Linked DNA regions of Rhinolophus ferrumequinum. The protein of the gene in region 4 interacts with the protein of the main gene of each other region in a pairwise test. Links are inferred from orthologs where the notes say so. Each region holds a gene or a part of one and is shown on either strand. Other genes may lie near its edges. The genes, in order: myomegalin, TOR1A, ARFGAP3 and SNCA.

The links.
Region 1: the proteins of SNCA (region 4) and myomegalin interact in a two-hybrid assay, tested with the Homo sapiens proteins (2 studies listed by BioGRID and IntAct). The link is inferred for Rhinolophus ferrumequinum from reciprocal best matches to the Homo sapiens genes SNCA and PDE4DIP.
Region 2: the proteins of SNCA (region 4) and TOR1A interact in a two-hybrid assay, tested with the Homo sapiens proteins (2 studies listed by BioGRID, with this or other methods). The link is inferred for Rhinolophus ferrumequinum from reciprocal best matches to the Homo sapiens genes SNCA and TOR1A.
Region 3: the proteins of SNCA (region 4) and ARFGAP3 interact in binary tests that used the Homo sapiens proteins (3 or more experiments, as listed by UniProt). The link is inferred for Rhinolophus ferrumequinum from reciprocal best matches to the Homo sapiens genes SNCA and ARFGAP3.

Annotation. Positions count from the first base shown.
Region 1 is NC_046305.1:49,320,709-49,327,900, reverse strand, and holds the start of myomegalin, read right to left. Parts: upstream 3,007-7,192; 5' UTR 2,288-3,006; coding exon 1,163-2,287; intron 1-1,162. UniProt on the Homo sapiens protein: Functions as an anchor sequestering components of the cAMP-dependent pathway to Golgi and/or centrosomes.
Region 2 is NC_046295.1:78,213,213-78,220,395, forward strand, and holds the start of TOR1A (torsin-1A), read right to left. Parts: upstream 3,016-7,183; 5' UTR 2,907-3,015; coding exon 2,726-2,906; intron 2,074-2,725; coding exon 1,808-2,073; intron 1-1,807. Other genes in the region: C12H9orf78 (splicing factor C9orf78 homolog), read right to left, coding at 4,701-4,792, 6,140-6,238, 6,344-6,480, 7,165-7,183. UniProt on the Homo sapiens protein: Protein with chaperone functions important for the control of protein folding, processing, stability and localization as well as for the reduction of misfolded protein aggregates.
Region 3 is NC_046293.1:5,520,879-5,527,963, reverse strand, and holds the start of ARFGAP3 (ADP-ribosylation factor GTPase-activating protein 3), read right to left. Parts: upstream 3,011-7,085; 5' UTR 2,920-3,010; coding exon 2,851-2,919; intron 1-2,850.
Region 4 is NC_046288.1:43,471,566-43,479,534, forward strand, and holds the start of SNCA (alpha-synuclein), read right to left. Parts: upstream 3,016-7,969; 5' UTR 2,942-3,015; intron 2,461-2,941; 5' UTR 1,802-2,460; exon of another isoform or gene 1,797-1,801; intron 1,790-1,796; exon of another isoform or gene 1,651-1,789; intron 916-1,650; exon of another isoform or gene 792-915; intron 311-791; 5' UTR 286-310; coding exon 165-285; intron 1-164. UniProt on the Homo sapiens protein: Neuronal protein that plays several roles in synaptic activity such as regulation of synaptic vesicle trafficking and subsequent neurotransmitter release.

The DNA.
Region 1 (7,192 bases), on a different chromosome or scaffold from region 4:
TTTCTGACAATTTTGTGTAAATTGAAAAACGTCTCCCATTTTCTGCTTAAGTTCTTATTGGATACAATTTTACAATTTCATTTGTTACCTAGCTCTAAATTTCTAGGATGATGTTGACCTTAGCAGGCTTTCCAAAAATGCCTTCTAGATTGTCCACCCTTGTAAAGGTATCACTAAAGAATTTGTATCAAGTAGAACATACCAGATGTTTCACAAAGTTAACTGAACCTAGCATTTACTGTTGCTATAGAAACACAACAGCATCTGTCAGGTCCCTGTATATAGCTGAATTTAAAAGGCTGGCACGAAATCAATTCGGCAGATATGAACAGCTCAAACTAAGATCAATTGCCATATCCTGGTCATTAAGAAATTCAGAGAGTATAATGGATGAAACTTTCCTATCACTCAATAATGGATGAATCCTCTCTTAATATCATTACACATCTCCTAAAGAAGCTCAATAGACTAACGGGCTGGGAACAGTTTTCGCCTTAACATTTTAAATGACAACCCTTGAATTCCCAAGTCTCTTTTATGAGCAAGTCATCATTAGTCCTCAAATGACCTATTACTTTTGTATAAATATTGTCCACATGTTACAATATTTTGGTGAATTAATAGGTTTTCCCCAAACCTTTACCCTATGCTCTAATCTGTTTGAGGCGTATCGGGGATAAAAGGTTTAATGTTTCAGGGAGAACTAACTCCCTTACAGAATGAGAGAAAACATCTACAAATCTAAACACGAAAACAAAACAAAAAAGGGGGTGAGAAGGGGGAAGGAGGGAAGAGTTCTAGTGCCAGAAGTAAGATTATATGTCTTTTCATTGGGTAAACGTGAATTAGAAATCTTTATCTTTTTGTCTTGAAAGGTCTGCAGTTTTGATAATGAATGGGAAGGCCAATATTGTTACAAAGAGGATTATGAAAAGCAAATTGAATGTGAATCTCCTTTACTGGGACACATTTACTGGGTCTCATTTAAATGGGACACAAGCAAAAGGTGCAACAAAAATGGGTGCAATGATTATTTTCTTAATTCTAGAAATAATATCCTTCAGTCTAGACTATTATTAACCTTCACCTAGACAGAAATCACGTGAAGCCTGGGGGCCAGAAAACTATGATCAAAGAAGCACGATGTAGCCATTTTGTATACCTGAACCCGGAGTGGCAAATATTCTTCACAGAGATCATCCCACAGCTCCTGCAGGTCTGAAATCTCCAAGGGATAACTGACAGGTGTCTTGTAAAAGGGTTTCAACGACCGGTTAAGGAAAGCAGAACTAACTCCATCTGTCATGATAGGGCCAGGCCTGGCTCCAGGTGGGCTGGATTTCACCGGAATGGGAAGCTTGCTCCCTCGGGGGCTCTGGATGGGTTTATAATCAAGACCTTTAATCATGCTAAGAGCTAGCTCCAGCTTGTGGTTACACACAGGCTGGGGAGCCGGGTCATCTGAGCAACAGTCACACTTGACAAGTTCCTTGGCGCTTCTCTCAGTCTCCTCGTCCTTTTGTTGTGGAGGACTAGCCTGGACGCTTGCATCCAAAGATTCCACTGAGGATCCCGGTGTCCCTTCCTCCATGCTTTCGCCATCGGGGGGTCCTTTGGTGCCGGGTAAGTCCGGTGGCCCCACCTCGGACAGTGCTGGTTCTTCAGTGCCAATGCTGGTGGACCACCTGGAAGAAGGGCCGCACGAGATACTTCGGGCCACCTTCCGAGGCACTTTACAAATGGCTTCATAGTCAGAGTCGGCAACCCGCAAAGCTGCACAACCGCGGCATCTCCTGGGACGGTGTCCAGCGCCTTCCGAAGCGTGGCAGCTGTGGAGCTCCTGGATCTGGTCCTCGTTTTCCACCCAACACTCGAACCCCGAATAGGCAAAATCTTCCTGCAGCAATGCAGAGTACCTCACGTCGGGTAAGCCGGAAATGTCCACCGTCCCACTCCCCGCCTTGGGCTCCGCGCCAGGGTCATCGTTATTCTTGCGATACATGCTGGCAATGCAGAATTTGAGGCGGTCCTTCTCCAGCAGCAGCTTCTGCAAGCGCTCGATGGAAAGGGCTTCGATCCGGGCAATAACGGTGTCGAATCTGTAGATCCGATCGAGCATGAAAGCACACTTGCTGCAAGCGAACTCGGCTTTGCCGTCGCGGGAGACATCCTTGCCCAGGACGTGCGAAAGCAGAACCTGGAGGTTGAGCTTGGACGTCGTGTGGAAGATCCAGCGCCGCTGGTTCCCGCACAGCTCCCGGGCACAGATCCTGCAAATCTCCTTCATCTTCCCTCCCGGCGGCTGCCGCGCTTCCCTGAGGCGCCCGCTGCTCGGCGATCACTCACTGGCGCTTGGCTGCGCTCCGTCTCCCGCCTCGGTGGCCTCCCGCCGGCATGGCACAGCCCCGGGGGGTCCCCACGGTGCAGGGGCGCCCCTCTTCCGAGCCCCGCGCGCGAGCTCTGGGTACCAGAGTGGTCGGCCCCGCCCCTCGGGGAGGGCGCGGGCGGAGAAACGCCTCAGGGGGATGCTGAGTGACAGCCGCGCAGGCCGCGCTCGGAACCTGCCATGTCTCCGCCAGCTGTCTCTCCCGCCAGCCGCCGCGTCCTCAGCGTCCTCGCTTCTAGCGGGCTGGGCTCGCCGTCCCCTCGCCGCCGCCGGCCGCTGACGCAAAGGCTCGGAGATTGAGGATCAGATTTCAAGATGGCGCCAGCGGCTCGCGCCTGCGGCCACCCGCACGTTCCTCTGGGAACTGTAGTCCTGGAGGCCGCACCCCCGCTCTGCGCATGCGGGGTGGCGACCGCGTCTCCCTCACCCCCCAATCGGGTCACCGCTCCTCGCGGTGGAACACAGACCTGGCTCACAGTGGGTACCCAGGGGAATGCGGGGCGGACGCTGACTACCGCCAGGCCACTTTCATCGTTTGAGATTCCACCGAAAAAGCGCACCACTTCCCTCCTGGATCCTCACTGTCGCCCCTGCAGGATGTCCCGAGGCGCTGCGTGGGGAAGAGAAAGCCGAATCCCCTCCCTCTCTCCCCACGGCTAGTGCCACGTACTCCGGATGGAGCCGCCGGGCCGCGCCGCGCCACTAGGTACCGCTGCGCGCCGCTCCCCTCCCGCCTGCGGCCCCACCTCCTCTCCCTCCCCAGGCCGGTGCCTGCGTTAAAAGGCCCTGCGGCTGCAGAGGCCGGCGGGGAGAAAGGGTTCTTAAACCAGAGGAGGCAGGTAGGGCGGATTTAAGGAGGCTCCGTTCTACCTCTCCCTCGGCTATCCGGAGTATGTACAGAAGAAGACAAGTGTTGGAGGGTGTGGGTGGTGGGTTTTAGCACTCTGATGACTTGCGCCCACCCCCCTTTTTTTAACAAAAGAAATCAAGGGAAGGCACAAAGCAGTCACCTGAGAAAGAGTCCCGGAAATACCACGTGAATGCAGCTGGTTAACCAAGATTTTGTAGATAATAGCAGACAAAATGGACTTTTTCAAGAATGTAGACACCTGAGAGTAGATTACCGTCACCCAGTTCTCTTTCAGGTTCAGGTAGACTACAGTCCTTATTTGAGGGGTGGAGAGGGTAGACAGACTCTGGAACAAAAGCGTCCAGCGTGTGAGGCCGTGCTGCTCTGTGCAGACTTAGGGCTGGGAATTGCACTGACTTCAGTTAGTACCATGTCTTATTCACCACCATACAGTTGTAAGTCACCCAACCTTGGGTGTAGAATTTGGGCGCAAGCAAACACTGGAGGGAACACGGAGCTCTGACCAGGAGGGATCCAGGTGTTAATGTACTTTTAAAGAATTTTCTTGGCTTTGAGAGGCAGGCAGACACCAAACAGGAAGAAAAACCGACCCAGCAATCACCTGGAGCACATTTCCCAGTGACAATAATGCTAAATGTCACTAACTTGACCTTGTGAGAGGTCAAGGCAAACAACAGTATTTAAGCACTGCTGAACCTCATCTGCAAGACAGAACCCACATTCCTAAGCCTGGAGACATTCAAATGCCTTCAGTGAGAGCTCATAAAAGCCTCCAAATGTCTCGAGGGTTAAATGAGATGATTTAGGGGAAGTACTTTGTAACAATGCTTAGCTCCTTAAATAATAGCTAATACTGTAATTTTAATATTTAATATTTAATATTTAATACTGTTATTTTGATATTGTAATAAAGGGACTATTTTAAAGTAATTTTAAAACTTTATGGGGCTCTACACACATAAGATTGTACTGTTCTGTCATTTATTTTAATCACCAAAACAAAAATCTTAGTAGCTCCGTTGGAAGACAGGTCAGTCCTTAGAGCTTTGGGGCTTCACAGGCTCCAAAACTTTGCGTATGTGATTTCACCTAAATCTGCGTGTTCTGGCCCTCAAACCAAAGACGAGAAAAAGAGTAAAACTCATTTCAGCTGCATTTTTGCCTGCCTCTAGGTATAGGAACTCTAAAGTCAGAAGAAATTAAACAACAGTCTTTGGAATCTATATGATCTAAAGAGAGGCAAGGTGTTTCTGGCCTACAGGACACGACCCTGCTGACGCTGTCTTAAGTATTGTCCTAAACAGCAGCAAGGACTCAAAACTCCATAAAAGTGCAAATTCAAAAATTTCCTAACAAATTAATCAAGCCTCATCTCTGACTGAATGCAAGCCACGTTTTCCCAGGGGGTGAAAATGCTAATGAAACAAAGTGCTTTTCAGGAGCAAACTAAAGAATACTTTGTAATATTCTCTGTTCCTTAATAAAATTGTGCATCTGGCCGAGCGTCTCTAAACTTGAATGAGTATATAGACAGCTTCGTGTAGAAGTGCAAATCAGTATAAATGGAGAAAAGGCGATTTACCATTGGAGAATTTGTTTGCTATAAGTACAGATCAACATACCAAAAGAGAGAGCTATACATATCGAGGCTTTCAACAACAGATCGGAATAAATCACTCAATCAAAGAAAATTTGAAGCTAGCACTCTATTCACTCCTAGAGAAAATATGTAAAAACCATATTTCAAAATGGATAGTAAACTTTAGTACTAGAAATAGTCCTAACATAATCATTTGTTATTATAAAATCATTTCATCCCAACTAAAAGATCACTGGTGTGTAGACAGCAAAACTTGAACGCAAAAATTGAAAAATAAAACATAGAAGAAAACTGTAATACTAAATTTAAAAATTAAGATAAGAGATAATAAATTCAGCATTTCACGGTCCTCACGAATGTCATCTTGGTCAAGATTTTGTATTTAGTTAACACTGGCTACGTATGGGAAGGCAAGCAAAAGGGGGTGGGGCTCAACAAGAACATTTACTTTTATTCTATATACCACGTGTCATTTGAATTTTTGGCCATGAATGTGTAGTCGTCTATTATTTTTTAATTTTTTTTAAATTTAGAGAATATTCTATAGTAAAAACTAAGAACTGAGCCAATTTAACACACGAGTATCAGAGTCTAAGTAGTAAAACATGAACCTAAAATGAGAATCTTTGTAACGTGATAACTATATATATTACATATATGTGCACAACATATAAACAAAGGTTCAAAGGGAATATACAAGTTATTAAACAGCAATTATGTCTAGAGAATGGAATTATGGATGCTTATTTTCGTCTTTCCTCCTTGATATTCTATCATTTTCTATAATAAGCATGTATTGCTTTCGTGATAAGAAAAAAAATTATTACTAAGAAAAAGGTAAGCAAAAACACATTTTCATATATTCATACAATGCAGTACTAACCAGCAATAAAAAAGAAAGAACTTTGATGCCCACATGAATGAAGCATGAAACAAGTCATATACCCATCAATACGTCCCATGAGATTCCATTTATTTTAGGTCTAACAACAACAAAAAAAGAATCTATAGTGCGAGAAATTCAGGAAGTGATTTTAGGGGACGAGATAGGGTGAGAATTGACAGTAAAGGGGTACAAAGAAATTTTCTGGGGTGATGAAATTGTTCTTTATCTTGATTTGGGTGATGGTTACATGGATGTGTACAACCATCAAAGCTCATATACTGAACTCTTAGATTTGTAGATTTTATACATGTTGGTATAGTTCAATTTATAGAAAGATAAAAAGGGGTATATAAATATAAAAATATATATTACCCATAAACTTTTATCTGATGGATTTCTTTGGTAGAAAGTAAACCCCACTTTATCATAAGAATAGGTTTGAAAATTGAGAAGATACATTAGAACCCAGAAGAATCTAGAACTCTTTCTATAAAAGGCCCAATTGCACATTCAAAACTTTATGGTTCCTATCCATATGAGCTTTGGAAACTATTATATGTCTGTGCACACCACACAGTTACGATTGAAGCATGCCATGTTGTTAAGGTGAGATTTCGGGATTTTATGATCATTTAGAATAGGATGATTATTTCTAAAACGTATCAAAGGTACATAAGAAAGGAAAATTTGAGAACAGGTTTCATATTGTGACAAACTATTATAAATTAAACAAATTATTCATTTGCTATATCAGCAGTTTGCCCTCAAAAATGGATTGATGAGTGCACTCCCAAGCACTTGTTAGCTGTATGTCCTAGGTGAAATCACTAATAACTGGTCCTTAATTTCCTAATCTACAAATGTTGAATTTAAACGGTTGTTTTCAACCTTTGGCGTACGTTGGAATCAGGGAGGGTTTGTAAAGACACAGAGATTGCTGGGACCTACTTACTAGAGTTTCTGATTCAGTTGGTCTGGGGTGGGACCCAAGAATTTGCTTTCCTAATAAATTCCCAAATCCTGCTGTTGGCTGCTGTCTGGGAGCCACACTTTGAAAACCACTGAATTAAAACAATCCTAAACTGTATTCAGTAAAATGTCAGTCAAAAGATTAGACACTCTGCAGATAAATGGGAAAACCCATCAACGAAGAACTACTTACAAAAGTGTTGACGTTAGAGAATTATCACTAATTTGGAACAAACTTCCTAAATATTAGTATGGCCAGGATCTTTTGCACTATCTCTCTTTTGATCTCCAGATCATGGAGCCCTGGGAAGGCTCTCTTAGAACCTTAGCCACTTTTGTACCCTCTGTGTTGTAGTGTTTCTAAGACCTAATTCTGGGTGAGGAAGGAGTTTCCAAGAGAATGAGATGTGGAAAATCCCCATGTCTCAAGCCAGTTTTATTAGGTTTTCATTGCCTTAGTTATGACATTGGAAATAGCTG
Region 2 (7,183 bases), on a different chromosome or scaffold from region 4:
GATCCGAACCCCACCCCATCTGATTGCAAAGCCCCAGTTTGATTACAATTCCTGTGCTATGAGATGTCACACTGCTGCTGTGGCACTGACTTGCTGGTCCTTTGTCATTCAAATGGCAATGTTAGCACATATCCTGTGTACACCAGCCTTCTAGGAAGAAGGCAGAGACAAACTTATTCTGGAGAATAGCCTGGAGAAGTTTCTCTCACTTTCCGATGGGGAAAGTAAGAAATGCAGGCTCCTTTAACGAGGCAATTGAACCTGAGAACACACGCGCTTTTGGCACCAGTGCCGTCAGCTAACTGACACTCTTGAGTTTCTAGAGCAATGCCTGGCGGTTTCTGAAATAAATTGGTTGAAACAGAAACATTCCATAAGGATATATTTAGATACTTCTTACAACACTAAGCAATCAAGGTAAGGAGAAAAGACCCTTTTAATCAAAATTTGAGCAATGGTTCTATATATACTGCTTTCCTAGACCTCCCCTCATCCCCAAGGTGGAGAAATGAGCTGTTTTCTGAGGAAGACTTTGGACGTTACAATGTACATCTTGATTTTTTATGGCTTTGGTTTTTGCTTGGCTACTATGACCACGGTTACAATGTTCCACGTGTACAAATCTAACCTAAGCAGTAATTCTGTTCTGTAGGCATGGACTAACTAGCCTCTATTTAGAGAGGAGGAGCCTCCGGAGAACTGAAGCAACTTGTGTGAGACCCCAAAGTGAGTCACTATTTAAACAGGGATTCGCTCAGATCTGCTAGGCTCCTGAGCAGCCAAGGTTTTCTCACTGTTACCCCAATTTTCAGGCAGTTAACAGAGAACATGTATTGAGTCACTGTCCTAAGCACTGTTCCCGTAACGTTTTATTGTGATCTCTCCAAATGCATGCAAGTTGTGTGCAATAGAATGCTATTGCATTCCCTGTTTTACAGATGAGGAAATTGAGACACAGAGAGGTTAAGTAACTTGCCCAAAGTCACACAGCTACGTAGTGGAGCCTGAATGCTAACTAGGATGACCAACTTGTCACAATTTGTCTGGAACTTTCCCAGTTTTAACACTGGAAAGCCCACATCCTGGGAAACCCTGGACAGTTGGTGACCCTCACGTTCCCCCAAGCAGAAGGGAAAAATGTGTTCGCATGGGTGCGGGCTCAATTTCTGAGCGTCTTGCCCACTTCACAGGTTTGTTACATGGATTAAAAAAGACGATAGTTCACTCTTACTTGAACACTCATGTGCCAGCCAGATCCCATGACACACACTTGACAGAGCTCTCTGAATTCTTACAACCCTCATTTTACAGATAAAGAACCTCAGACTCAGAGAGGTCAGGTAACTTTCCTGAGATCACGCAACTGGTAAGGTAGTTAGGACTTAAGTCCAGGTGGGTTGCTGCCAAAACACAGGCTATTCAGAGTTAAACTGTAAAAGGAGTTTGCAACACTGCAGTTAAACAAACTTAGGCCTCTCTAGAAACGTGTCCTCTGCAAAATGAGTTAGATTTAATGATCTTTAAGCTGGATCTGATCATGTCCATCTCTAAAATCCTACGACCTCACTTACTAAAATGAGAATCACACTGGGCCTATTTCTGGAAACCATAAAGCTTTGACAGTGTAACTAACTACCCCATGCGTCTCCAACCCTCTGTAACTTCCACACCTCTCAAAGGGGAACTGACACACGCAGCCATATTCAGAGCTCACTCATTTCAACATGCAATTCTCAGGTCTCACCCCACAACCAAGATACCCCCTAACCCAGCACCATCCAGGAGGGTTCTGAAATTCTGCCCTTGCCTTATACAGGGTGATGTTGGAGGCATGTGGAAAGTGCAATGTGGCCACAAACAGGTGCACAAAGTTACTGTTCAGACCACCCTCGTAAATATTCTCTGCGATGATCTTGCTGACAAAGTTTTTGCCAGTGCCAGTCCACCCGTGTAGGGAGAGGGTGAGAGGTTTCTTGGGCTTCGGGTTGCTTATGAAGGCAGACACGGCGTTTAAGATGACTTTCTTTGCAAGATGCTGTCCAAAGAGCTTGCTGTCCAGATCCTTCTGCAGCACTGGGAAAGACAAAGCCAGTCATGGAGGGGTTGGGGGGCACACAGCTAGCAAAATTTAGCCAAGTTAACAGGCTCATGTGAAAGCCAGCTAAGCTCTTCAAGCACCTTATGAAATAATGAGGTATGTAAGCACTTGGCCCAGGATGGCAGGTGGGTCCAGGAGGCATCTCCTCTGCTAGTGCTGCCCATTCCACAGCCCTGGCAGGAGCCTAGCTCCTTCCTGAAAAGGACCTTGGCTCCACTGCTTCTGCCACCAGCGTGCACCCCTCACCCCAGCTCTGCTCCTCCTGCCCCAGGGCCGCGCAGGAAGAAGGCTGCAGTTTGGCCACCACGGGTCCGCACCAGGAGGTCCCGCACCATCCTTCCGGTCTCCAGCCAAGAAGGCGCAAAACTCTTTGGAGGGCGTTTACAGCTGCCACACCCCCCGTTTCTGCGGGAAGCAGCCCAACCCGCAGCTCGCCTCCTGTTGTCGGACCGAAGTCCAGTCTGTCCGCGGTCGTGGCCCCACCCCGCACCCTCCGGCCCTCGGGTTCCGGGTCCCGGTTCCGCGTAGCGGCCCCGCTGGCCTCAGCTCTGTCCGGGCTTCTGGCCCCCGAGGCCCGACCCCCGCCTCTGACCCCGACCCCAGCCCCCAGCCTTCGCCCCGTCCTACCCTCCCGGCTGAGGCTCCGCTTCTGGCCGCAGCACTCGGCAAAGAAGCAATACAGGCGCGGGTAGGAGATGTAGCCGGTGAGGACGCCGGCCAGGGCCAGTCCCAGGCTGATGGGCTCCACCGCCTGCACCACCACCGGCGCCAGCAGCAGCAGGCCCAGCGCAGCCCGGCCTAGCTTCATGCCCGGACCCGCGCCTCCGTGCGCGTCCCGAGCCTGCCACGGGCCCGCGCTCGCGCTAGACCGCGCTTCCGGTTCCTCCCGTGTCGCCGGCGCCCGCCATCTTTGTGAGGGGCAGAGCCCTTTGCTGCTTCCGGGAGGTGGGCGCCGGAAGCCGCTGGGGCCACGTTAGTGTTTTTAAAATAAAATTTAAGTTTTAGATTTAGAGAAAAATAGAGAAGACAGTACAGAGAGGTCTCATAGTCACCACCCCTCCCCACATGGTACAGTCTCCCCTTTTAACAGCTTACATTTGTATGTTACATATAAACCTAGATTGATGAACCTATATATTGATATACAACTAAAGTTTGTTCAGACTTCCTTAGTTTTACCTAATGTCCCACTTCTGATCCAGGATCCCATTCAAGACACCACGTTATATTTAGTTGTCATGTCTCTTTGGACTCCTCTTGGCTATGACTGGTTTTCAAACTTGCCTCCTTTTGATGATCTTGACAGTTTTGGGGAGTACTGGTCAAACGTTTTGTAGGATGTGACACTACTGGAATCTGATGTTTATCTCGGTTAGACTGGGGTTATGAGTTTTGGAGAAGAATATACAAAGTGCTATTTTTATAACATTATATCAAGGGTATAGACTGTCAACATGATTTATGACCATTGATGTTGAAATTCATCACTGGATAAGATCGTGTTTGTCAGTTTCTCCACTGTAAAGTTATTTGCACTCATTCATAGCTTTGAAGCCTGCCTATGTGTCACGTTATGGACTAGACCCTGGGGATTCAAGAAAACAATGAGTAACACATAATTCCTCCCTTCACCTTGCATTCTAGGGGAGGGAAAGAAAAATGAAAAAAAGGTCTCCATTTTACAGATGAGGCTCAGAGGGAAAGGGATTTGTCCAAGGATATAATAATAAGCTGTGAGCAGAGCTCAGATCTGACTCCAAACCAAACTTCTCTAACCACAACGCCTACTCTAAATCAGCCCACAAATCAACCGACATGCTCTTTCCTCATCCTGAGCTATTTAAATTCCTCAGAAAAATGACAGCACATATGGCATCATACTTGACAGCTAACAGGTTGGGGCCTATCCATGTCTCTTGAACTAAATGAGAAGATCTGTCTCAGTAACTCAGTTTTGCATTGGAGCTGCCCCACCCCTGCACACTGAACACATTACCTAGTGTTGGTGTAAGGAGACACAATACAAACAAAAAGGTTGGATTCATTTTACATTTAATACTTAAGTGCTGGAGATGATAAAAATTATTTTCTTTCTTATTGAAGAGAAACAGGTAACTTTGTAAAAGTCAGAAAATACCAGTGTCCCTTTGATGCTATCCTACATTTTTCACTGTCAGCTGGATCCACCGTAAACAACGAAGGATGCATCTCTAAACCCTATTCCAGATATTTGAAAGTGGAAGGCATGATTATATATACAATAAAAGCACAATTTAAAGGGTATTGTATCTCACCCTGAACACACCGCTGTTTCCTCCTGACCCAGGGCAAATATTAAGAGGAAGTCAACATATTTACAAACAAGATTTAATAATGCTCACAAGAACAGTTTGCCCCCAAATAAGAAAACTACGTATTGTTTTGTTTCAAAAACAAATCCAGCAAGTAAGCAGCTGGACTAATAGAATCTGTTTTGGGAACTGTCTGCTAGCAAACGATCAGGTTTCTGACCAGGAAGGCTTTTATCATGGGGGGGAAAAGGGGGCGGGGAGCAGTGCTATTTATTTACACCCCATGCTGCACGTCTCCCGTTTCGCCACCCTCAGTACCGTCTGTTCATCTTCTTGAACTTCTCGTAGTGATAGTCATCAGTGGCCTTCTCATTAGCGGGGCGCTTGCGGTTAGGAGGGGACCCTGGGAAGGCAGAGAGGAAAAGCTGTTTGCCACGCTGGAAGTCGCCGATTGGCTTTAGCTCCACAAAGGAAAGGACCATGCCTGTCTCATTCCCCACAGGAGCCCCAGTGCCTACCCTAATAACAGAAACGGAATAGGGCCTCAGTAAATACCTGTTACTGAGTGAATGTGGTGAAGGGCCAGCCAAAATATGCTGACGTCAGCATTAGACTGGTGAACAGTAGTAGCTACGCTTCACTGAGAGTGTGACTATGTACCAGGCATGGTGCTAAATCCTTTCAGACATGACTTCCTTTAACCCTCACAGCAATCGTAGCAGGGGCATGTTACCATCTGTGCTCAGAGGTTAGGTGACTTGTTCAAGGTCACTCAGAAAGTGGAAATAGGCTGAGAGTTGAACCCAAGTCTGGTGACTCCAAAGGCCTTGCTCCCCACATGTGAATCACATGAAGCTCTTTGGGAATCAAAGACCCAAGGTATCAAAGACCTTGGTTTTGTAAAACCAAGATGTTACAGAAAATAATTTCTCAAGGAGGAAGGAAGAAACAGAGTAACAGCCTCAGCAAATTTTGCATTTCCTTCGAATCATCCCACTGTTGATAAAAAAGATGAGCCCTCCTGGTGCCGGTCAGCTTGTGGGAAGGGGCACTGTCGGATGCTGAGAAAACACATGAGCATCACACTTCTAGACTATCGGCTATCATTTGGCGACTTATTAGAATGTAGCCTACGGACATGATGTCATCAAGAATGACCACCGAAACACTGTGTAACAAAGGAAAAGTGAGAAACCACCTAAGTGTCCAACCAGAGGTAAACGGATAGACTACAGTGGATCTGTCTATGCAATGGAACGTGACATGGCCAGTGAAAAGGAAAGTAGGTATTTACTGTCATGGACAGACATGCAGGGTGCAGTAGTGAGTAAAACGCTATGAGACCCCAGTAAGTGTATATACAATGTTTCCTAGATGTGTGAATATTGAAGAAGTCTGAAAGGTTATACATAAAAACGTTAACAGTGGTCATCTTTGGGTGGTGAAATTATAAATAACTTTTATTTTTGTTTATTGAAAATTTTCTAATTTTGGGGGTCTCTTTTATATTTGACAGCCCAGTGAGTCCTCAGAGCAACCCCAAGAGGTAGGTTTTATTACTCTCCCAATTTTATAGATGAGGAAATTGAGGTTTGGAAAGGGGAAGGCACGTGACCATAGTCCAGAGCATGGACTGAAACCCAGCTGCTCTGGCCCCAAAGCCAAGCTCCACCCCTACCAACTTCCACCCCCTCCATGGGCCCTGAGCAATGTGACCGCTCCAGGGAGCCGAGGCCTCTGCTGTACTCACGCTCGGGCTCCGGCTTCTCTGTGTCACCCACTCTCAAGGGTCGGGCTTTGGGCTCTTCTTTGTTTCTCCGAATGGGGGCATTGAGCTCCTCGTGATAAACTGGACCAAAAGAGATCAGCGGACACGTCAGACAAAAAACATGGGAAGCAGGGGACCTCAAACCAATGGGCGCAGGAGCGGGGCTGCTTCCCCAGAGGAACTTACATCGGTTGTGCTGCACGTAATTCACCGCCATGTTGGTGGGCACGAAAGATGTCTCACTGTCCTTCTTCTTGTTCTGTTGCTCTGCCAGGAGACGGGCCTTGGCATCCTCCGTGGAAATGATATTTTTTATTTTAGCACTATGGGAAGAAAGGAGCCATGCCACGCATTAGATCACCACACCTCTGGTCCTCAGAAGGAAATGCACGGTGAGACTGGCAGCCTACCACTGCAGGAGGAAACCGTCTTTCTTGGGGCCTTATGGCCACATTCTCAGGGAGCTCTCACAACTATTGGAGAGGTGGGGAGTTATCCTCTTCTGATCAAGAGGAAAGTGAGCCTCCAAGTAAAGTGAATGGTCTAAGGCTTGAAGCCAGAAAGGCCAGAAAACAGGCAAGAACTCAGAAGTCTCCCAACTTTCTACTACACCCAAAGATGTTTCTGACCACTGTATCTCCTCCACAGGCATCCCTTTCAGAGCAGATGTTCTGTAGTAAAAAAGATAAAGATTACGGGGTGGCTAAGTCTTTAACATTGCTCCTGCTAGAATAAAACAGAATACAAGGGCCTGTGAACAAAGGCTAAATAAAAATAAACACTGTTGCTTTCAGCAGTCAGGGTCCCTAAGTCTCTTTTACGACTCTGACCAACTCTTCAGAGAAATTTTTGGGACCACCATCTCAGCCCACCAGAGAGAATACAGTTTGTGTAGGTTTCCAAGGAAACAGGTAAGAAACAGTCCCCTCAGCTTTGAACTGGAAAGCAGAGAGCTCTTCCTCCAGCCTAGGGGCAGGGGAGAGGTAGATCGTGGGTTTGAAACATACTCGATGCCCAGGTCCACCT
Region 3 (7,085 bases), on a different chromosome or scaffold from region 4:
CGGGAAGCAGTTAGAAATCCAAGCCTGGCTCTCACACACCGCCTTGATTCTCCTGCTCGCAGGACACTGCGCTGAGAGTGGGACTGCTCTTTGTTTTCATACAAAATCCCAAACCCAAGTTGAGACATGCTTTTCTAAGCAGAGTATTAATTATTATGGTGACGAAAAACAGTTTTGACTAACAATTTGTTTTGCCTAATGATGAGAATAATAATTGCTATAGAAAGAAGCTAATATTGACTGTTTACTCCCTGTCAGGCACTGTCGTTGGCCAATCAAATCTTCAGAACAACCCTATAAGAAGGTACGGTTGTCGTCCCCATCGGGGCCCGCTTCCTGGGTGTGTGTGATCTGGGCCCCGTACTCAGAAGGGCCCATGACTGCTTCACGTTCTCCTGTCTCATCTTGAAATTCTTAATACTTTTCAAACAAGGGCCCTGCATTTTCATGCCAATCAGGAAGTGCAGTTTTGACCCCCATTTTAGAGAAAACTAAGGAATTCTGAAATTAAGTATCACAGCTAAGAAGGGGTATCACGGGGACCGGACCCAAGGCAGTCTGCGCCCCGGCCCCCTCTTCATCCATCATCACACTGCCTCTCACACAGCCAGCAGCCTTCATCCTTCACCCACCGGACTGTGTACTCCGAGAAGGCCGGAGCCTGTCTCTTTATTCAGGGTACATCAGTGTACCCTCAATGCTTGGCACGGTGCCCAGCACACCACAGGTGCTCAATGGATATTTGTTGAATGAATAACTTAAGGAATCAATATAAAACTAAGGAACAGTATAGCTTCAAGGTGGGATTTTACAAACTAGAAAGCTGACCCTTAAGAGTTAAAACCTTTGGTCCAGAGTAAATGGTCATCATACACGAGAGGAAGCAATTGGACACCACATTCTGAAAGTAAACCGCCTTGTTTTTCTTTACCTACCTTTCCTGTCTCGTGTACCTTACAGCTCCTTTTCAGAACCCCATTTTGAAAATGCTTCGTGTCCTACAACTCTTCCACATCTCTAAAACTAGTTTTCATCTTTGTTTAGGTAATGGTTTCTTACTAATGATCGAATAAAAAGTCTTAATCAAAAAATGTAACACACACCAAAAAATGTAAGAAATGTAACCATAAAATGTAAGAAAATGTAATCAAGAAATGTAACACACACAAAAAAATGTAGTGTGGAACATTACCAGAAAATATTTTTGCTCAATGCTTTTATTAATCCCATTACAGCATATAAAATGTTCCACAGGTGTGTTATTCATAATAAAAATAACAATAACAAAAAAGAGCTGATGTGTATTGAAGACTAGTATACGGTGGTACTGCTCTAATTGCTTTTCCTTGATTTTCTCAAATATTTAATCCTCACAATAACCCTCTGAGTCAGATCCTGCTCATGTCCCATTTTCAGATGAGGAAAACAAGGTACAAAGTCGTCAAGTAACCTGCCCAAGGTGACACAGAAAGTAGCAGGGTCCTGATAACAATTTATAAGCAAGCCACACGTGTCCCTCAAAGTGTCTCTTGGTAGAAAGGCACTGACTTCTTATTTGAAAAGGGCACCTTCCCTTTGAAGAATTCAAGTTACAGGAACCACTCTTTATAAACGGGTCAATCTAAACCTGAAAATCAAGAAACTAGCACAGAAATCAGCCCTGGAGGATTCCTGGAGCCCTTCTCCTCCTGACTTTCCTACCTCCATCAGACATCACTTCCAATAAAGGGCTCCCTTTCTGCAAAAGGCTGTAGGCTGCAAAATGATGCGCTCCCCTCCCCCATCAAGACTTAAAACAAAGACACCTAAATTCTGTAAAACTCAGGAACTTTCTCTGCCATCACGTCATGGCTCCTGTGACCATGCTCCTTAACAGCTGTTCACTTTGGAGGCGACCACGGGGAACAGACAGAACTGTCACAGGAAGGGAGGGGAGAGTCCACACTGACGCGACAGCCCTTTGCACTCTCCAGGTTCCACGCCGACCTGTGATCCTCAGCGGAGGGTGTCACTTTAGCCCGATGTGTCATCACATCTCCAGCCAGTTTTGAAAAGTTGTAAAAGTCACGGGGGCGGGGGAGAGCCTCTGGATATGGCAAAAAAAGGAAACCCCCAATCTCCAAAGAGACCCAAGGGGAAGAAAGAGAAAGGGTCTGTGTGGGCTTTCTTAGCAAGAGAAAAGAGCTGGAAGCCACTGCACAGACCACTTGGCAGCTTTATCAGAGACACTGACGCTGCCATCAAAGGACAGAGGGAACCAGGCAGGCTCCCGCAGGCGCCCCCGGGAGAACTTTAGAGATGAGTTCACGAGTGGGGAAGGGAGCGAGCTGAGTTTTCCAAACGCCCAGCGCTACCAGCTGGAGTTCTGACCCGCTGCGTGCTTCCCAGCTGGGTCACAGGTGGCCTGCGGTGTCGCCCTCACTCGTAGGGACCCCGGGTATCCTTCTCAGCTCTCTCGGGGTCCCCGATCTCGGCCCCAGCTCTCTCAGGAACTCGACAGTGTCCACTCGGCCACCCCCAAAGCCGCCCCCGCCCTGGCCCGGCTTCCGGAACCCACAAGTGTCTGCCCCCGGCCCCCAGGACCCCCCAGGTGCTTTCGCCTCCCGCCCCCAGGACCCTGGCCGCCGCCCCGCCCGAGTCCCTGTGTGCGACCCTCCCCGCCCCTTCCTTGTTGAGACTGGGGGGCGGCGAGCGGTCCGGACCCAGGAGAGGCCCAGCGGCCGCAAGTGCGACGTGTCACAGCCCAAACCGGCTCCTCCTCCCACTGCCGCGGCCACTGGCGCCGCAGGGGCGGCCCGCGGGGTCCGGCAGGGATGCCAACCAAACCTGAGCGCGCCCGGCGGCCGTTACCTTGTTGGTGGGCACCGAGCGGAGGCGCTTGAAGATGGTGAGGATGTCCTGCTTGCTGGGGTCCCCCATGGTCACCAGAGAACCGAGGGCGCAGCTGGCCCCTACAACCGAGAAGGGCTGACAAGGAGCGGTTGCCGCCTCCCGGAGCTAGACGACGGCCCAGGGGGCGGGGCTTCGCGTGACGGCCAGGTCCCGCCCATGGCCCCGCCCACAACGGAGCGCACGCGCCGTTCTTCTCTAGGGTGCCTCGCTCCGCTGTGCCGCTGGCTCCGCCCACTGCAGCCCCGCCTCCGGCGCTGCACGCGCGTGCACAGAAGGCTCGTGCGCGTTTTCCAGGTCCTCGTCTGCCGTTCGTGCAGGGCAGTGGGTGGCGAACCTGAGCTTGGGTTGGGTTTCGTCCCGTGCGCGTGGCCTTCGTAACGGACTGCTTCCGTGGCCAAGGTCTTCTCACTTCCATCCCGTAAGTGCGGCAGAACCAGTCACTTGAAGTGACAAAGGAGGAAACCTGGGAAAGGGCCTACCCGCCGTTTCTGACAGAGGACTGGAGTCTGGACGCAGGGTTTTCACTAGTCCTTGTCGACTGGCCTAATCATTCTCCAGCTAATCCACCAAAAGAAAACGGGTTTATTCGCGAAAAGAAAAAGAAACGGAACCACCCAGAAGTGCCAGCACACTTGCAGCCCGGACCGCCCTCCGGCGGCCCACGTGGAAAAAGGAACCCAGCGTCAACATGGCTTCTCCCTTTGTTCGCATCCCTCCCCGGGAAATTGCCACAGAGTTCAACAGGAAGTCCAGACCAGAGCCAACAAAGGGCCCGGCTCCACCCACAAGTCCCTCCAGCTCCGTGGTTAAGAATCCTAAAATGCCAGTTCACTTTCATCATCCCCTTTTTCTTGCCCTGGGTAGGGAGCTTTCTACGCTGAAAATTGGTTTTCTCTAAATATCAGTTTGGGTCGAAGGTCAGTGAGAGAGAGCAGTTGTCAGGAGGCAAAAAGTGCTCAGTCAGAATCGAATACAGACGAGAAGCAGCTCAACGTTTCCAGCACCTCAGACTGATCTATACCCGCTGGCTAACATTACTCGCTAGAAGGATTTAAACTTGGAGGAAGGGGTTTCTTTTACAAAAGTGGGTGTGGAGCCACCAGAAACTGTTGCCTGAGGTTGGGTGGTGCAAGGAAAGATAACAGGTTTTGGAATCAAATGCAATACCTTGGCACCAGGCCCAGTCCTGCCAGCTACTTCTTAGCTCTGTGATCTTGCTCAAGTCACTTCTGTTCTCTGAAGCTTGGTTTGCTCATCTGTACGATGGGGTTAGAGATGAAGAATCCGTGCTGAGCAGCACAGGAGAGCAGCTGCCCAGAGAGAAGCCCTGGAAAAGCCTTTGGTGATGGTCTACTTTTAACCTATCCGGTTACATACCCTCGGAGAAGTTGAAAGTTTGCCAGGACTAGGATGGAACTTTTCCAAGGAAGAGAAAGTTATTACCTTCCAGAACAGTACTTTATTTTTGCAGACAGCTATGACTATTTGAAAGTTCTTCCTTCCACTGAGTCCAAGTATATACCCCTGTATTTTGTGTCTGTTGGTACTAGTTTGGCCTTAAATAGAAAACCTGGCATATTCATGAACAGTCTTCTGATGGGGATGATGGTCCCATTTACTGTTTGGAGCTGAAATCTTACTAAGTTATGTATCAGGTTAGGGCAGGGTGTGTTTACTCCACTCTTCAACACAGAGATCCCTTCGGAGAAGACAAAAAGTACGAGGAAGTATAGATAGTGTCCACACGAATAAGCAGGTGTAAGGGAAGGGGAAAATACCATCACTGTCTTCTCTCATCTGCTTACGTGTTCTTCATTGAACTTATTGCCACCTGATACTATAATACGTAAATATATTTGCCGCCCTTCAATTGAATATAAATTTCATGAGATCAGATCTATTTGGTCTACCTCTCTAACCCCAGCACCTAGAACAATGCCTAGCGTGTAGAATGTATCCAACAAAGATTTGTGGAATGGGCTTAGAAAGTATAAATGTGTAAAGAGCGTCACTCCCAATATCATAATGAGAAAAAGCCTTGCATAATCTACAAAGTCATACCTTCTCTTGAGCCCATCAGATTGCTGAGGTTACAAAACAACCAAGTAAACTGACTTCCAAGAGAGACAAGCCTCTCCAAAAAGAGATGCACACGAGAAGTCCTTAGCTTTGGCAGAGCACAGGAGAAAGGTGGCTGCCATGCAAGTGAGTAAGAGGAGGTCACCTAAAAGTGTAATGAATTCTTAAAGGCCAGGGTGGCTGTGTGGCTCAGTTGGTTAGAGCACGAGCTCTGAGCGGTAGGGTTGCCGGTTCGATTCCCACATGGGCCAGTGAACTGTGCCCTCCACAGCTAGATTGAAGATAACCAGCTACCATTGAGCTTCCGGAGGGGCAGCCGGATGGCTCAGTTGGTTAGAGCGTGAGTTCTCAACAAGGTTGCCGGTTCAATTCCCGCATGGGATAGTGGGCTGCGCCCCCTGCAACTAAGATTGAAAACGGCAACTGGACTTGGAGCTGAGCTGCGCCCTCCATACTAGATTGAAGGACAATGACTTGGAGCTTATGGGCCCTAGAGAAACACACTGTTCCCCAATATTCCCCAATAAAAAATTTTTTAAATATTCTTAAAGGTGAAATGTGAGCTAGCATTTGGAGTAGTTAGGGCGCCTCCGACATAAAGGGAGTTTATATTCATTCACAAGCTCTTTTCCATAAACCTGTACCAGAAATCTTTCTTCATAAGAAAGATGGAGACAGAGAAACCCCTTGTGGGGCAGGCATCCAGCTGTTGAGGGACAGGCACAAACCCCCACATACTTCTAAAAAGCAAAAGCAGCAAACTCTCCTTCAGGTGACAGACAAATATCCATTTCTGCCACAGGAGGAATAGAAGCAAAACCTCGGAATACCAAGTCCAAAAGGGAATAAGAAATCCTCTCTCTCTTAAAGAGGGTAAAGAGACAAAATTTCACTGCTGCAGGAGGAAGGATAAAAGCAAAATTCCTCAACCCCTGGGGGAAGTTCAGGAAACTCTTTGGGTTCAGAATCCTATACCCATACCAAACTGAGGTTGGCTACACTGGAAGAGGGGGAGGAAACTTCCAACCAACACCAACCACAGACACCATGACAGGTTTACTGTCATCAGAAGGAAGGCAGGAATGTTGAGAAAGTCCTATCCCTGAGCCCCAGGCCCACAGGCCTAAGACAGGCTGGACCAGGTCACCAGAGAACCTCCACCCACACGTTCTTGAGCCCAGCCCTAAGTACCAAGCAGCAGCAGTCTACCACAGGGCGGGACAAGAGCGACAGTAAACAACTCTAGGACCCTAGCCCGTACTGTAAGCACAAGGTTACATCCTGTGGTGCACTGAGGGTAAATAGAGCAACAACAAAGCCAAGCTTAACTCCTACCTAAATTAATGCAATCCCCACACTAATAACCTGACAGAAGTGGGCCCTTTTTTAAACTGTAAATACTATTTACTTCCGACGGTATTTTTGTGCATTAGGGTTTCTCAACCTCAGCACTATTGACATTTTGGACTAGATAATTCTTTGTTATAGGGACAAAATCGCCCCTGGTTGAGGACCACTGTTCCGTACTCAATGTCCAGTATTCAAACAAACAAACAAAATTATGAGACACACAGAAGAGCAAGGAAAACAACTATTGTCGAGGAATAAAATAATCAACAGATTATAGGGCCAGACTCAGAGAAGCTCCAGATGTTAGAACTGTCAGAGAAGGACTTGAAAATCACTATGATTATTATGTTACATAATCTAGTGGAAATGTGGGCAACATATATGAAAGAATAGGAAATTCCAGCAGAGAGATGGAAAGTACATGTAAGTCAAATGGAAATACTAGAAACAAATAACAACGAAACCTCACAATATCAGACATGAAGAATTCCTTCAATGGCCTTATAAGGAGACTTGACACAGCTGAGAAACATGGAAAAGATCTACAGAAATTATCCAGATTGAAATACAAAGAGAAGGGGTGGGTGGGGAGAAGAACAGAACATCTAAAAGCTGTGGGAAAATAGCAAACATTTACAGTCCCACAAGGAGAAAACAGAGAGAATGGGCAGAAAAATTATTTGAAGACATAATAATGGTGAGTATTTGTCAAAACAAATGAAAGTTATAAAACTATAGATCCAGGAAACTCAGAGAACCCTCAA
Region 4 (7,969 bases):
ATTAGCTCAAACATACACAGTCACATATCTCTGACTCAGTCTATCCTTTTGACAAGTGATGAAGAAAAAATGAATCAAGTGAGAAATACTACCATTGAGAGCATCAATTATCCTAACCCATCAGTCATAAATAAATACCAAAATGGCATTTGGGGCTTACCTACCTACATAGAGAACACCCTCTTTTGTCTTTCCTGCTGCTTCTGCCACACCCTGTTTGGTTTTCTCTGCAGCAGCCACGACTCCCTCCTTGGCCTTTGAAAGTCCTTTCATGAATACATCCATGGCTAAGGAATTCCTTTACACCACACTGGAGAACACAAAATGCACTTTGAATGAGAACTTTTGGGTAAAACAAAACAAAACTATAACCACCCAAAGTAAAATCCCCTGAAAGGTCAGTAAAACTCCCCAAAGGGTGAGACTCTTTTAAATGTACCCTTAGATAATGAAGTCTTTTTTTTTTTTCTTTTTTCTTTCAGCTTTTCCATAACAAATTTAGCACCCCTATCCATCTGGGCTAGTAAAAGTCTAGCCGCCTAAACATGGTTTAGGATGAATCATCTCAGCTGTTCTTGCTGCATTTCCAAAGTGGAGGTGCATGAAAAGATGGACCCCTCTTTCAACTTCCCAGGGTCCAAACGGTGGCAGTATAAAGTTAGAAGTACGTTTAGAAGATAGATCACAGGGAAAGAAAGGGAGCTGGGGGCATGGGGTCAAGGACACTTAAAATGAATCCAAGAAGAGGGCTAATAGGTTGACCAGGGAGAGCGGGGAAGAGACCTACTCACCCTGGGTGTGGCTGAACCTCAGGCCCTCTGAGAGCCCACCCGCGGTCGCTCTAATCCACAGGACCATCCACCCCCGCCCTCAGCTATCTACACGGAGCAGGCGCCTGTTCACACCCGCCGGCAGCCGAGAGACTCTCGCCCGACACCGGAGGGGGTGTTCTCTGCGCGCGCGTAAACCTACTCCCTGCCTCGCACCTGTTAACCCCTTACCACCTGTTGACTTGTCCGATCTGCACTTCCATTTAATTATTTGCCAAACACAGGTAGTTGTTTACTGTACTGAGAGAACCGTGAGGGCGTGCTGGGGTGTTAAAAGATAAGAGAGAAATAAAGTTGGATGCTCACGCTCCATCCAACATCCTTGCGTTTCCCAAAGGAAAAGCGATTCCCTGAGAAGCCTGACCTCTCAGCTTCTGAGGACAAGACGAGGGAAGTATGTAAAGCTGGAGGAAAGCCTGGTCACTCACTTACTTTCTTCAAGCGACCAAAGGGACATACCCATCTCCTAAATTAGATAGAACGGGTCCTCTCTGCCTGCAGCACCAACCCCCTTGCCAGGCGTCCTCTCCTTGCCAATGACTCCTCTCCCACCAGGTGTTCTCCAGGCTTTCCAAAGCTGCCCATTCAGATCCACAGGTACTTATCCGAGTCCCTCTGTTCCTCAGAATTACGATACCACCCCACACCCCGTAAAAAAAATTTAAACAATTCCCAAATATTATTTAAATGGAAAAAGGGTGGGTAAGGAGCGCACGGGAAGGGGCGAAGCGGCACCAGAAGAAGGATGGTCCCCAGAGGAGGCCGCTGTCAGCACAACCCAGCGATAAGAGGCCAGGGGCATGGGAGGCAACCCACGAACCTGTCGTCGAATAGCCACTCCCCGTACCCCGCACAAGAGGATCCCAGAGAAAGAGATAGAGGGATGGAAAGGAAGGCGGGGAGAAGGCACGAAGGATGCTAAAGGCAAGGCTGGGCCCCCAGGTCGGCGCTGAAACCAGCACACACCTCACCCGCGTCCCCGCGCTCGCTCGGTCACTCGCCCCCTTTCTCGGGTCCGTTCGTGTCGTCGCGGTCTTTCTCCTCTTTTTCCTCCTCCTCCTCTTCTGCTCAACGCCCCCGCAGCTGATTTGTCAGCGCCTCTCCCCGCCCCTCTCCTGCCTCTCGCTGCTTTCCGCGCTGCCTGCACTTCACTCCTCTTCTGGATGGGGAGGAGATGGGGTGGGGGCGGGGGGAATGCTGTACCTTCAGCTCCTGCCGCCCGCCTGGTCCTGGGAGGCGGGAAGGTGGGGGTGTTCTGAGCTTCACCTCAAGTTCAGAGTCACAGGGACTCTTGGGGCGATCCGGAGCCGTTAAGCTTGGCTGACATCTCTCTACCTCTTTCCCTCCCCTGTCTCTGCCTTTCCTTCTGGATCCTCACGGGGACCCCCAGGTCAGAACCTACCTGGGGGCGTGGGGGTCTGAGGGATCAACCACCAAAGATAGAGCCAAGCTCTTGGGGAGCTGCTGAAGGAGACAGCTCAAGATTGCTCACATTGGCACCGCCAAGAGCACGTTTCCCTCGGATCGCTGAAATTTGATTAATGAGCGTAGGACCCAACGTTAAGGGTGCTTTTGCTTAAATATCCGCTATTTTCGTTTGCTCTGAACCTTGCCTGTACCCGAAAGGGCCCTGCGGGTAGAGAGGAGACAAATAAGGAAGAGTTACAGGTTGAGGAGGCAGGAGAAGGCTTGTCAAATCCTCTTCCCACTCCACTATCACCATTTTCTTTTCCACCAATCAGGGGCTGCCAGACGCAGGTTTTCCCATCAGCTGAACAAGGAATAAATATTCCTTAGCCGTCGAAACCAAGTGGTCGTAAGGCTTTTAGACATCGAAATGGAATTTACTTTGAAGACTCAAGTGCCTGGTGCAGGAGACAAACCTAGCGTGGTTTATGCTCCTGAACCATTACATCCAATTTCGTCTTCGATCTCTTCTGAAACCGCGATTTTACACACCACTCACCTTTCTGACACCTGATTCACGCTGTCCTCGGAGCTGACACCCCCCCTCTCCCAACACACACACACACACACACGGAGACACACAAACACGCGACAAACCCGCGCAGGCTTCAAGACAATTATTGCATTGCTCAATACATTTTCACCTCTTTCAGAGCTGGAGGGAAAAAGCTGTTCCCGGATCACACCGAATGGAGATCCAAGCTCCTCCTAACAGAATGTCTTTGCTTTTTTTTTGCCTGGTTGGGAGGGTGATTTTTAGCACTGGAAGGGAAAAATAAGTCTTTGCGATGCGTTTTTATTTATTTATTTATTTATTTTGTGGGGGTGTGTTCTTTCACCCTTGCACTCACTTGTGTTTGAAATCTGAGTAAAATGCAATTTAAATCTACAAAACAACCATTTGAAACCGAAAGGGACAGGAAGCAAGTATACATTATTGATTAAACAATTCCTTGCATCACTGGTCTACCCTTTTTAAAAGTAGCCTTTCCAAAACTCTCCTGTTGTTTCCTTGGGGTCAGAGAAAAGAAGGTTAAACTTGAAAATTGGTTTGTTGTCTGGCTTTGAGACTTTCTACAAGTTTTGTCCTCTTTCAGTTTTCTTGTAAATGAGGAGTTAACCCAAATAACACTTCTCTTTTTGACCTTTTATTATGGAAAATGTTTAAACATATACAAAAGTAGAGAAAATAAAAGACTCTCTTGTGAATAGCACCCAACTTCCACCATTTTTCAATTTATGGCTAATCATCTGTATGCCTGTCCACTTTCCAATTTTTATCACTTCTCCTTCTGCATTTTTTACTAAATTCCAAGAATTACATATGTCTGTTTCATCTGTAAATATTTCACCATGCATCCATGACAGATAAGAACTAAAAATGGATAACAATAATGTTCAGATGGTCTTTTTTTAACTGAAGTATAATTTATAGACAGTGAAATGCTCAAATCTTAAGGTCTTCAAATTAGTTTTGAAAAACATATGCATTCATGTAGCTCACACCATTTTGAAGACAGAACAGTTTCACAACCCCAGAAAGTTCCTTCCTGTCCTTCTTAGTTGTACATATTCAAGAATTTCAAAAATGGAATCCTACAGTATGAAGTTGTTTTTTATATCTGGCTCCTTTCACTCAGCATAATGTGTGAAGTTCATTCATGTTGTCGCATATATCAGTAGTTTGTTTCTTTTTATTGCTCTTGATTATTATTTTTTTTTTATTACTGACAATGATAAATGTTTTCCACTGTGACCCATCACAGCTAGGTCCCTTGATAGACTGTTATGACAATTATTTAATATATTATTTCATATGACATATTTATAGTTTAACAGGAACCTCTGAAGGGGAGAAAATGACTGATATTTTCGGCCCCACTGCAGACCAATGAGAGAATTATTTTGAGCAGTCGTTACTTTTTTGTCTTTGTTATAGGACAGCATGATTCCAAACCTTTAAATTGTACTTGGCAAAGGACTGATGTACTATATTATTTAATCATAACAAGTGGGTTAGTTAAGTTTCATTATGTATGTTTTATAGACGGAATCTGAAGCTAAAAAATTTTCAGTAACAGAACTAGATTATCTAGTTCTTGAGTAGCAGAGCTGAGATAATCTAGCAGGAACTGTTCCAGAAGGCACATTTGTCTCCAGAATTAGCATTTACTCTCTGGAACCTTACAGATGGGTTATGTTATCAAATGGGAGGGAAAAGGTGAGATCCAACTGTGTTAGAAATAACCTTTAAATTTGGATGTGACAATGGAAATCCAGGAGAATTTATGTTATTATAAAACAGTGCCTTCATATTTGACATTTTGCCTTTTCTATATTGGTCATTTTCAGCAGGGGGAGATGATTCCTCACAACCCCCACACGCACAAAAATGCAAAACAATTTTTTTGTCATTTTAAATTACAAGTTTATGTTTCACTCCTCTTTTCGCCCCTTAAAGTGCCTTGAACATAGTAAGCAATCAATAAACTTTTAATTACTAATAATATTAATAGTGACATTATTTATGTTCTACCTGTAGTCTCTTAGCTCTGTATTCGTAAAGCGGCAGAACTACTCAAGAACAAAGAAGGGAACTGACTGCTACTAAAGATTTTTTTCATCATTGATTGATAGCATGGCCTTGAGTAAAATTTTAACTCTCTGAATATAACTTTGAAAATAATCTTATTGAATGGCCTGTACCTCATAAGGGATATAGAAGAATGATCTATTGGGAAATATTACTAATGTGTACGTCTTGTTAGTGTACATCATACATGATTGGCTTTCTCTTTGACAAATGAATTCTAAATATTTTGCTACTCTTATATAGGATTGTTGTATTTGAGTTTAATACAGTAAATTAGTTACAGATTAACATTCTATGAAATGCATAGTTAACCTAAACTCTCTTTGTCTTCTCATTAAACACGGATTTTTAGGTGTGCCATGTAGTAAGCTTGTGCTGCAATGAAATGATGTGAAAAATGAGGAATCTGACCGAGTGATTAAAGAGATTTTAATCTGTTTCTTATCTTCTCTTTGCACCTTCCTCTCATGTTATGCAAATGTATGAAAAATATGAGGTAGTGAGATCTTGGTTGGCTCCCTTGTAATTTCCTAGTAGGCATAGAGGGGAAAGCCTAATGCATATAGTTGGGATGGCATTGTGTATGATTTTGGAAAGAGGCTGAGCTTGAAACAGGGCAATAGGGTTACTCGAAAGAGATATAAAGAGCAATGAAGAGGGAGTATAGCATTCAAAGAAGATTCTCTAGTTTGACACCAGGGGCAACTTCATGTTGTTGTTACAGTACTGTTGGCAGCACAAAATAATGGACATTTATTCTAGCATAATATGGTTTATCATATTTATTAATATGATAATATTAATATATCCTCAACAATGTAGAAATTGTGACCACAGGAAAGTGCCATGCAAAGTATGTAAAATTAAATTGTATATCATTTTAAATATCCCTGTGCTTTTTGTGGTACTAAAGCTATGAGGACATGCAAGAATCCAAGTTAAAATCTTCAAAGTCAGACAGAAGAGATATTTAAATATTTTAGGATCGAAAAAGTAGAGATAAGTATTAGAAGGAGAAATATATTTATGAGTTCAAGAAACGCACTACAACCTGGTGAACATGGTTGACTTCTAAGAGTGGAGAAACTGCATACAAGTTAAACTTGGTATCACTAATCCAGAGCAAGTATCTAACCTCTCTAAATCTCTAATTTTCTTATTGACAAAATGAGGATGACATTTTACTTGTGTGATTGTTGTAAAGAATAAATAATATAGTTTTAGTAAAGAACAAAGCACAGTGGAATCTGTCGATACAAGTAGTTATTATCTAGCCCCCCATGTTTTAGGGTGCCTTAAGAAATACTTTTTTCATTGTAGTAGTTTTCAACATTTTCCCATCCCCCCCCCAACCTCCCATCTCACCCTAAACACACTTAAGTTCTCTAATGCCTCCTCATCAATAACTTTGGCTTACTATGGTATTAGGTAAAACATTTCCCACCATGGATGGAAGTTGTGAGGAGATAGTATGGGGGGATTCAAGGAGCATTGATAGGAGTCGTTAATATAAAATCTGCCCAAAATCTCTTTTTTCACCCTAATATGTGGTGTGGGGACAGAGCCCCAAAAAGCAGTTTCCAGGCTCTCGGTCTCACATAGAAAGGTGGTGGCTCAGGTAGTAAATGGCCATCGACTGTGATCAAATGGCCAGCAGCTGTGGCTAGTTGGTCGTCAGCTGTAACCAGTGAGCCATTAGCTATGAATATAACTGCGGTGGCTAGTCTAGCAAAAAAAAGAAAAAAAAGGGGGAGCTAGCAAGAAGATGGTGGCTGAGTCTGCAAGCGGCACAGTGAGGGTTGAGAATTGTGTTGCTCCTGGTTCCTGTGTCTCCAACCCAGCCGCCAGTGAGAGTATAGTGGTGTGACTCCCCTACCTATGGCTCCGTGGGTGTTCCTGTTTGGCCTCACCATGTCCTGCGTTCTTGTGTGGGGAGTGGGACCAGAGACCCCGCCTGACACCCCGCACGACACTTGGCGTAGTCGGCAGGATCCCCTGCACTACATGTGGATTACAGTAACATCATTCACAGCAGATCACATCAGTAGCCCGAAGAAATATAGTGACAGTGGTAGAATTAATATTCTCTATCTTTATTGACAGTTTTATATTCTTGGAGCCTGGTTTCTTTAAAGGCGCAGTGTAAGAGCTCTGTATAAATTCTGTTGATTTGCCGAGGGAGCAAAATAAAATGATGTAACAAATGGTGTTCCAAGTTTGCCAGACTTGTGACAGCAGCTCTAAAAAGGCTTCAGAATGAATATCCAATTCAGAGATAAACTCAGCCTCTAATGTTCCAGGTGAGTGAAGAACGGACAGACTGATAAGACAATGACAGATCTACTTCTGCGTCTCAACTGCATTTGTGTTCAGAAAGGCAGAAAATAAATGGATAAAAAAACATTTCAGGGGAATTTATAATGATTTGCGCAGTGTTTTGGACCGAAATAATGCCTTTGCCAAGAGAGAAATCATAGGAAACTAATAAAAGGAGCATGTTCCATATAATATCAAAATTATCCAGGCGTCTAATATATTTTCTCTACAGATAATTTGCATATGCAGTGGCATTTAGATATTTTCTTCCACGCTATTTAAAAAGCATATCATTAATGTTTTGATAGCTTGTTACCACACATTATCATTGAGATTAAGAAAGGGAAATTGTTCAGAGAAGAAATTGTTTCTTAATGGTTATTTGATAAATACTTTAACATCAAAAACTATCCATGTCAATGAATACAGATTTGTGATGTCATTTTTACTATAAAACATTACATTGTAACATATATTTAATCAATTGTCTATTTTTAATTTTTATAAACATCACTTGAGTTAAATTTCTCTGATTATCTTCCCAAAAGTGGGACAAGAACTTGTCTATATATTCAGTCTAATAATTCTTCATAAATATTTAAATATTATTCATGAGTTCCTGTGGGGACAGAGCCAGGAGCGCAGTTTCCAGGCTCTCGGCCTCACGTGGAAAGGTGCTGGCTCAGGTAGTAAATGGCCATCAACTGTGATTGGATGGCTAGTTGGCCATCACCTGTAACCAATGAGCCATTGGCCACTAATA